Oryctolagus cuniculus: one gene and its partner. The protein of the gene in region 1 purifies or fractionates together with the protein of each later gene. This does not show direct contact. Links are inferred from orthologs where the notes say so. Each region holds a gene or a part of one and is shown in the gene's direction. Other genes may lie near its edges. The genes, in order: OBSL1 and CAMKK2.

Region 1 (4,232 bases):
GGCTGAGATCAGATCTGTCTCTGGAGTCCCTTGATCTACCTGGCACATACCTCCCGAATGCCTCCCACAAGCCAAGCACTCTACGTCACTGCCTCATGTGATCCTGAGGGGTAGGTGTGACTGCCCATTTTACAGATCTGGAGACAGAGGCTTGGGCCCATTGTTGCAAAGCTGGCTGAGCGGCAGGGCTGGGCTTGAATCCCAGGTCTGCCGGGCCCCCAAGCCCATGCAGTCCTCCTGGGCTGTTTCCTGAGGTCACCCTGCCAGTTCCCACCCAGTTACCTGCGGCCGGGAAAAGGATGGCCTGGGAGACATCCTCTTCCTCTGGCTCTGAGCCCCTGTGCAGGAAGCCTCCTGGGGCATGTCTTCGGGGCAGCCGCCGTACTCCAGGAGCTCCACCTGCCCCGCTCACCGCCGGAGGTCCCAAGGCGTCCAGGAACAGGGTCCTCACCTTGGCCAAGACAAGCTCCCGGTCGAGCTCCGGCCCGAGGCAGCCATGCCCGCCCTGCGCGGCCAGCAGCAAGAGGAGCAGCTGGGGCACCATAGCTCACCTGGCCCTGCGAATGGGGGACTCACACCCTCCCTGCGCTCCTTCTGTCAGGGTCTGCCCGGAGTCTCCCTGCTCTCCCTCCCCATCTCCCCACCCGCCCTCTTCTACCTTTCTCACCCCAGGCTTGCCCAGGCCTTCCCACGCCCTGCAGTCCGTAGTGCCCCTGTCCATGGCACTGAGACCTCCTATCTCTGACGCAGATGTCTGCGGCCCTGAGCCTTATCTCCCACTCCCGCCAAGAATGCGGGGTAGGGGGCTGGGGAGGGTTTTCACCCCAAGTGACCTGACCACCCCACACACATACACACACAAACATACCATCTCTCTCTCTCATACACACATACACAAAGTGTGTGTGTGTGTGTGTGTGTGTCACATCCTAGCACAGTAGGACATCGGTAGGACAGGAGCCTGAAACCTGGGGTCAGCCAGCCCCTTAAGAGTGTCATTTGCCAGGGACACAATACACCAGCCCCGGCTCCTCTGGGGCCCCTTTCAAACAAGCAACTGCTGGGGGCCAGCTGTGGGGGGAGGGCTGGGGCAGGGGGCAGGTGGTCCCGCCTGCTCTATACTTAGCCTGGAGAAGCCGGCCTGGACTCTTGTCCTCCAGCTGTGTCATCAGAGAATATTTTTGGGACTGGCAGCTGCAGGCGCCTCTGCCACTCAGGGCCAAGCCTGGCGGGTGGCTGGGGACCTGGCGGCTGGAGGTGGGAGGGAGGAGGGGAAAGGGGCCCAGGCTGTGGGAGGGGGCTGGGAACAGAGCAGGAAGCCAGGCCGCGGGCCGAGGAGGCAGCGGGGCCCCTTGCTGGAAAGGCAAACAGGAAGGACTGCCCCCTGAGCTCGGGGCTCTGGCTAGGGACTCGCCGCCGCCGCCGCCGCGGCAGAGCTGCAGCTGCGGGCCCAGGGTAAGCTGGCGAGCAGGAGCGGGCGGCCCGGGCAGAGTTGGGAGGGTCCCCGCACCCGGGGCTCCTCGCTCGCCGCCTCCGGGGCGTCCGCCGCCCTCTCTTCCTCCGCCGCTGCGGGCTAGTCTGCAGCCGCCGGGATGAAGGCGGGCTCGGGGGATCAGGGGAGCCCCCCGTGCTTCCTGCGCTTTCCGCGGCCCGTGCGGGTGGTGAGCGGCGCCGAGGCCGAACTCAAGTGCGTGGTCCTGGGGGAGCCGCCGCCCACTGTCGTGTGGGAGAAGGGCGGCCAGCAGCTGGCGGCCTCCGAGCGCCTGAGCTTCCCGGCGGACGGCGCCGAGCACGGCCTGCTGCTGAGCGGCGCGCTACCCACCGACGCCGGGGTCTACGTGTGCCGCGCCCGCAATGCCGCCGGCGAGGCCTACGCCGCGGCCGCCGTCACTGTGCTGGAGCCGCCCGCGCCCGAGCCCGAGCCGCCGCTCGCCGAGCGCCCGCTGCCGTCGCCGGGGACCGGGGAGGGCGCCCCGGTGTTCCTGACGGGGCCCCGATCCCAGTGGGTGTTGCGGGGGGCGGAGGTGGTGCTGACTTGCCAGGTGGGGGGCCTTCCCGAGCCCACGTTGTACTGGGAGAAGGACGGGATGGCCCTGGACGAAGTGTGGGACAGCAGCCACTTCGTGCTGGAGCGGGGCTGCGCCGAGGGTGGTCAGGGCGCGAGCCTGGCACTGCGCATCCTGGCGGCGCGGCTGCCGGACTCGGGCGTCTACGTGTGCCACGCCCGCAACGCGCACGGCCACGCGCAGGCCGGCGCGCTGCTCCAAGTGCACCAGCCCCCGGAGAGCCCTCCTCCGGAGGGAGCCGACGAGGAGCCCGCGCCCGTGGTGGAGCCGCTTAAGTGCGCGCCCAAGACCTTCTGGGTGAACGAGGGCAAGCACGCCAAGTTCCGCTGCTACGTGATGGGCAAGCCCGAGCCCGAGATCGAGTGGCACTGGGAGGGCCGCCCCCTGCTCCCGGACCGCCGCCGCCTCATGTACCGCGACCGCGACGGCGGCTTTGTGCTCAAGGTGCTCTACTGCCAGGCCAAAGACCGCGGGCTGTACGTCTGCGCGGCGCGCAACTCGGCGGGCCAGACGCTCAGCGCCGTGCAGCTGCACGTCAAAGGTAGCGCCTGGAGGGGGGGGGGGCGTCCGGGGCCTGGCCGGGCGTCTCTAGCGCCCCCACCGGGGGAGGGAAGCCCGCAGTAGCAAGAGGACTCCGTACCCTGCCCGCCTCCCACCCCCTCCAGGGACTCGGATTTGGGAGGTCTCCAGGGCACTGGGAAGTCTTAGCGAAATTCCAAGTGATTCCGAAGCAGATGGTGAAAACCACTAAGAGAAGGTTGACGTGCCAAACTTGAGGACCTACCGTTCTCCAACCTTGTTATTTTCCTCCTTCCCCAACTGAGTTCCCATCGTGCTTCTCACCATAGACAGAGGAAAGCATTTTGGGGGTGCGAGTCCCGCATCCTAGCGGATGACACCCTCGGGCTGGCACCCAAACAAGCGTGGGGCCCCTGGGCTGCAGTGGTGGCCTCGCTGGCACAGTTGGGTGCGCACGGCACCAAGCCTCAGGTCCCTCTTCGGGGAGAGGGGGAGGAAGAAGCCCCATGGGAAGGCGAGAGAAACTTCCCAGGGCTGCACACACAGCTTCACCCTCTGGTTATTGCCAACATCTTGTGTTTTTACATTTGACCTTCAGTTGCGAACCTGATGAAAATACCTTAAAAACGAAGTTGAACTCAGAGGCCCTTGCGGAATCTCTGAGGAACCTCCTAGAGGCCTCAGCGGGGGAAGAGTTTGAAAATCACTGATCCGGTCCAGCCCTTCCCCTCCCTTCCCCTCCCTTCCCCTCATTTTCTAGGCCAGGCTGTCCCCCTTGCATTCCCACACGAGCAAGGAAACTGAGGTCATGTCAGGATCAGATGAGAATTGAGGCTCTCTGCCTTCCCTGCCCGTGGCTTTGCGGGGATTCCGCAGTGCCTGCTGGCCCTGGGAAGAGAACAAACAGCAGAGGCTGATGTGTGTTCAGGAGTACCGCCGCCCCCCGCCCTGTCCGGTCCTTCTCCGTCTCCAGCGCCTTCTCCGTCGTCTCTCCCCTGCCTGCAGAGCCCCGCCTCCGCTTCGCAAGACCGCTGCAGGATGTGGAGGGCCGGGAGCATGGGATTGCGGTGTTGGAGTGTAAAGTCCCCAACTCCCGCATCCCCACGGCTTGGTTCCGCGAGGACCAGCGGCTGCTGCCCTGCCGCAAGTACGAGCAGATCGAGGAGGGCACGGTGCGCCGCCTCATCATCCACAGGCTGAAAGCGGATGACGACGGCGTGTACCTGTGCGAGATGCGGGGCCGGGTGCGCACGGTGGCCAACGTGACGGTCAAAGGTCAGCTGGCCGGCTGCGGGGGTGTGAGGAGGCCGAGGCGGGCAGGCGCCCAGACACGGAGCTGATGGATGTTCTCCCTTTGCGCATCTCAGGGCCCATCCTGAAGCGGCTGCCCCGGAAACTCGACGTCCTGGAGGGCGAGAACGCGGTGCTGCTGGTGGAGACGAGAGAGGCTGGGGTGGAGGGGCGCTGGAGCCGCGATGGGGAGGAGCTGCCAGCCACCTGCCAGAGCAGCTGTGGCCACATGCATGCCCTCGTACTTCCGGGGGTCACCCGGGAAGATGCTGGCGAGGTCACCTTCAGTCTGGGCAACTCCCGGACCACCACTCTGCTCAGAGTCAAATGTGAGGGCAGGAGGGCCCAGGCGGGAGG
Region 2 (4,354 bases), on another chromosome or scaffold:
CTCTGTCCCGGCTTCCTGCTCATGAATTCAGGGTGCACTCATTCCCTTTGACTTTTTAAACAACTCGGATGTAAGCTTGGGTCCTGGGCAACACATTCCGAGAGGGTTGTAAAACACACACGAGCAGGGGCCCAGCTTTGTGGTGCAGTGGGTTAAGCCCCTGCCTGCCATGCCAGCCTCCCACATGGGCGCTGGTTCAGGTGCAGGCTGCTCCAGCTCTCTGCTAATGGCCTGGAAAAACAGCGGGGGTGGTCCAACTGCCTGGACCCCTGCACCCACGTGCGCGACCTGGATGAAGCTCCTGGCTCCATTGCAGCCACTTGGGGAGTGAACCGATGTGTGGAAGATTCTCTCGGGTGCGCATGTGTGTGCCTGCCTCTCTCTAACTCTGCTTTTCAAATAAATAAATAAATCAAAAAAAAAAAAAAAAAAAAAAAACTGCCCAGAGATTGCGCAGCGCCCTGTGCTCCGCACCTTGCTCTTCCCTCCACGCGGGGCTCTGCGAGTTCCTGGTGTTGGACAAACAACGGTAACGCACCCCCTTCCACGAGGTGGAGCAGACCACTGGAGGAGTGGAACAGGTTTTGTGTCTCCCTCTGCAGACGGCCATCGCAGAGGGCCTCCCAGACTCGGAAAGTGGGGGGGGGGGGCATCTCCCCGGAATCCACAGAAGCGGGCCGGGGATCCGCCCAGCGCGCGAGGAGCCTTCGAAGCTGGGGGCCCTGCGGCCTCCCCCAGCTCCCGAGTCCCGAGGGGCTGCACGGCAGGGCCGGGAAGAGCGGCCTGGGGTCGCTGTCCGCCCGGGACAGGTCTCCGGGCGCCCCCGGGGCCACGCGTCAGACAACTCGTGCGCTCTGGTCCGGCTCCCCGCCCCACCCCTCGCGGTACCGCTACCCAGCCTGTCCAAGCTTCTGGGCGGTCTCCTGCGAAAGTCAGAACTCGGGCGGCTTCCGGGCAGCCTGCCGCATCCAGGCGCGGTGGGGGTGGGAGGCGCACTCCTTCCGCAGCCTCCGGGGCCGGCCCTGCGCAGCGGGTCGGCCGCGAACGCGGGTGGGGGACCCGAAACCTGGGGCGGGACTTAGCCAGCCCAGCGAACTTTCTGAGACTCAGGCGCCGCCCTGCGTTTGGCTAAAACAAAGCGAGCGCCGCCCGCCCGCCCGCCCGCGGAGGAGCACCCGGCAGGTGCGCGCCGAGAGCCGCGGGACGGGCGGGTGCAAAGCGCAGCGCGGCCTCCGGCGCTCCGGCACCCGCCCCGGAGCCCGCGGCCGCGCCTCACTTCCCCTGCCCGCCCCTGCGCCTTGGCCGCGGCCCCGTCGCGCCGGCGCCCGCTTCCCCTCCCCGCCCCGGCGCGGGGCCGAGCCGGCGGGGGCGCGCAGGGAGCGGCGCGTGGCGGGCGCGGGCGGTGCCGCGCCCGGGCTCCCAGCGGCCGCGGCCAATCCCCGCGCAGCCCGAGGCGGCGCCGCGCCCGAGCCGGGCCCCGCGGCTCCGCCCGCCCCCGCCCGCACCGCGGAGAGCAGCGCGCGGCCGCCGAGCGAGCCCCGCCGAGCGGAGCCGGGGGCGCAACGCGCGGGAGGCGGCGGCGCGGAGCCCAGGTGAGCTGGCGGGAGCCGGGCGGGGGCCGGGGCCACCGCCGCAGCAGCAGCCCCCGGGCGCCGTCGCCGTTGCCCTCTCGAGGCGAGGGGGCCGCCGCCGGGGTTGCAGACAGAGCCCCGGGGGCCCCCTCCGCGGAGGGGACCCCACGTGCAGCACCCCACGCCCCGCCACGTGGAGGGATGCGGCCCCCCGCGCCCCTTCCCCGCGTCCGCCTCGGGGCCTCGGGGTGGCCTCGTCGGCTGGGCCGCTACCGGCCTGGGTGGCGGGGGGCGGGCGCAGAGTTTGGAACCGGTGTCGCGGGGCGGCCGGGGCTGTGGAGGGTCTCGGAGGCGGCGTAGGCCCAGCCCCCTCGCGGTTGTCAGGCGGGGGAACTTGGAGCGCGCGGGGGAGGTGGGGCCCGCGGACTTGGCGCGTCCCCTCGCGCGCTGGTCTGGGGCAAACCCAGGCCCCGGCCGCCTGGACACCGGGTGGCAGGACCGCAGAGCAGCGAGGGTGGGGACCTCGGCCGCTTCGCAGGGCACGGTCTGCCCCTGACCACCGCCGCCGCAGGTCCGAAGCCTTGGTCCTTTTGACCTAAATTTGCCTGGGCTGCAGCAGGCGGGGAATGCGGAGAGGAGCCTTACCCTGGCACCTTGCGCCTGACTCCGGGATGCTGGGCCCAGCCCCTCTCGGCGCGGGGTCCTGGGCCCCGGGGCGCCGCCCGGCTTGGGCAGCGGGGTGTTGCCCAGCGCCCAGCCTCTCCGCGGCGGAGGCCGAGGGATGGAGCTTGGGTGGGGACTTGTCAGTGCCAGCCGCGAGACGGGGGCGCCCCGGGCTCGGGTGGGACGCGCGGCGGCCGCCTCCCTGGAGGCAACTTTCGCCCTTCAGCTGAGACAGCCGCCCTGGCGATGGAAACTTGAGGTGCCTTGGAGCTGCGTGGTGTTTACCACTCCCCCGCCGCTGGCTCTGCCAGGGCGGCGCGCCCTGGGTCCCCCTGGCTCCTTTGTTCCTTGAAGAGGCGGGGGTCTGCTGCAGCCAGGCGGGGTGGGGGTGGGAGAGGGGAGGCCCTAGGGATGGGAGCTCCAACCGCCTCACCAAAAAACACACTTTGGGAGTAAACTGTGCCTGCTGGGCAGACGCAGCGTCAGATGGCTGCTCCAGCCCCTTCCTGTAGGAGTGCAGGCGTCGGTGATGAGGGTGCTCGGCGCATTTTTGTAATAAAGAATAATAGGCGTCATCGGGCGAGCTCCTAACTTGGGCAATAATAACGTTAATAACCGGCACTTATTCCTGCTCTGCCCCGAGGCTGTGCTGTGTGGTGCGCGCATCATCTCACACTTAACGCCTACCAGAATCCTGCGCAGATGGGGAGGAGATGGAGGATGGCACTCTTGGTGGCTAGGATTTAGTCCCGGTTTGGAGACGGGCTCAGAGAGGTTGAGTGACTTTCCCGGGGTCGCACAGCCGGGTGCGACTGGGTGTGTGGCGGGGCCGAGAGCCTTTTTGGCCTCACCGCTGGCAGCTTCTTGAGCCCGTGGTTGTCTCCCAGGGGCACAGAGCTCCGCGGGCCCTTTGCAGGTGTCAGGGGCCGATGTAGCCCCTACTACCTAGGCTGTTATTCTTGGCAGGGGGCTGTCTCCCACCCACCCAGGAGCATTTGGACAATGTGGGGGCAGCTTCTGGTGCCTGGGTGGTGCTGAGCACCCTGGCTTGTGGCCGTGCAGAGTTGCCGCATCCCACACGCCCTGTGGTGCCCCCACCGGGAAGCACCACCAGGGATAAAAGTTGTGGGAACGGAGGGGGCAGAGGACCTTGGAAGTTCTGGGGAAATCCCTTCCTTTGGGAGTAAATCCCGGATGCTTCCTGAGGGAGGTGTCGCTTGTGCTGGGCCTTGGGGGGAGGTTGGATGGGAGGGGGAGGGGGAGGGCATGGGGGGGGGGCTAAGCCTGGATGGGAGATGCCCCTGTGAGGGGTAGCGAGGAACGGTTGGGGCGGGGGCACGCCTGCTTCCAGGGCGTTTTAGATTTTAACCTGGACCAGAGCCGGCCTTCCCCTGCTGCGACCCCGTGTCACGGAAGGGCTTGGAGAGGCTGCCTCCCCTCCGAGCTGCTGCCCGAGGGAAGCGGGCAGACCACTGCCCACTTCCGCCGAGGCAGACCACTGCCCACTTCCGCCGAGGCACAGGGCCTGGTCCTGCTGTTTGTCTCTGAAGCTCCGTCTTCCCACCAGTGGCTCCCCTTCGGACGAGGCTGCGGGTTGGCTGTGCTGGCTCCGCCCTCCCGTCCATGGGTCGAGGAGGCTGCGTTGCTATGCTAGAATTGGCCTTTCTTCTTTCCATCTGTGCTCTTCGCTTACTCAGTTGTTAATGGACATTCACACGCGCTTATAAAATCCACGTAACACCAACCTAAACATCTAACACTTTATTTATTGACAGGGAGAGAGATCGAGCTTGCATCTACTGATTCACTCCCCAAACCCTGCAGAAACTGGGGCTGAGCCAGGCCAAAGCCAGGAGCCAGGAACTCCATCCAGGTCTCCCACATGGGTGGCAGGGGCCCAGGCACCAAAGCCATCGTGGCCGCCTCCCTGGTGTCCATCAGCGGACGGGGTGGAAGTGGAGCCAGGAGCTTGCTTAACTTTTTTTTTTTTTTTTTTTTTTTGACAGGCAGAGTGGACAGTGAGAGAGACAGACAGAGAGAAAGGTCTTCCTTTGCCGTTGGTTCACCCTCCAATGGCCGCCGCGGCCGGCACACCGCACTGATCTGATGGCAGGAGCCAG

Evidence for each region.
Region 2: the proteins of OBSL1 (region 1) and CAMKK2 purify together in Homo sapiens (affinity purification with mass spectrometry; 4 studies listed by BioGRID and IntAct, with this or other methods). This does not show direct contact. The link is inferred for Oryctolagus cuniculus from reciprocal best matches to the Homo sapiens genes OBSL1 and CAMKK2.

What each region holds. Positions count from the first base shown.
Region 1 is NC_091434.1:19,956,209-19,960,440, forward strand, and holds the start of OBSL1 (obscurin-like protein 1), read left to right. Parts: upstream 1-1,322; 5' UTR 1,323-1,592; coding exon 1,593-2,607; intron 2,608-3,590; coding exon 3,591-3,860; intron 3,861-3,952; coding exon 3,953-4,204; intron 4,205-4,232. Other genes in the region: INHA (inhibin alpha chain precursor), read right to left, coding at 283-544. UniProt on the Homo sapiens protein: Core component of the 3M complex, a complex required to regulate microtubule dynamics and genome integrity. It is unclear how the 3M complex regulates microtubules, it could act by controlling the level of a microtubule stabilizer.
Region 2 is NC_091452.1:7,645,073-7,649,426, forward strand, and holds the start of CAMKK2 (calcium/calmodulin-dependent protein kinase kinase 2), read left to right. Parts: upstream 1-1,446; 5' UTR 1,447-1,592; intron 1,593-2,005; exon of another isoform or gene 2,006-2,142; intron 2,143-4,354. UniProt on the Homo sapiens protein: Calcium/calmodulin-dependent protein kinase belonging to a proposed calcium-triggered signaling cascade involved in a number of cellular processes. Isoform 1, isoform 2 and isoform 3 phosphorylate CAMK1 and CAMK4. Isoform 3 phosphorylates CAMK1D.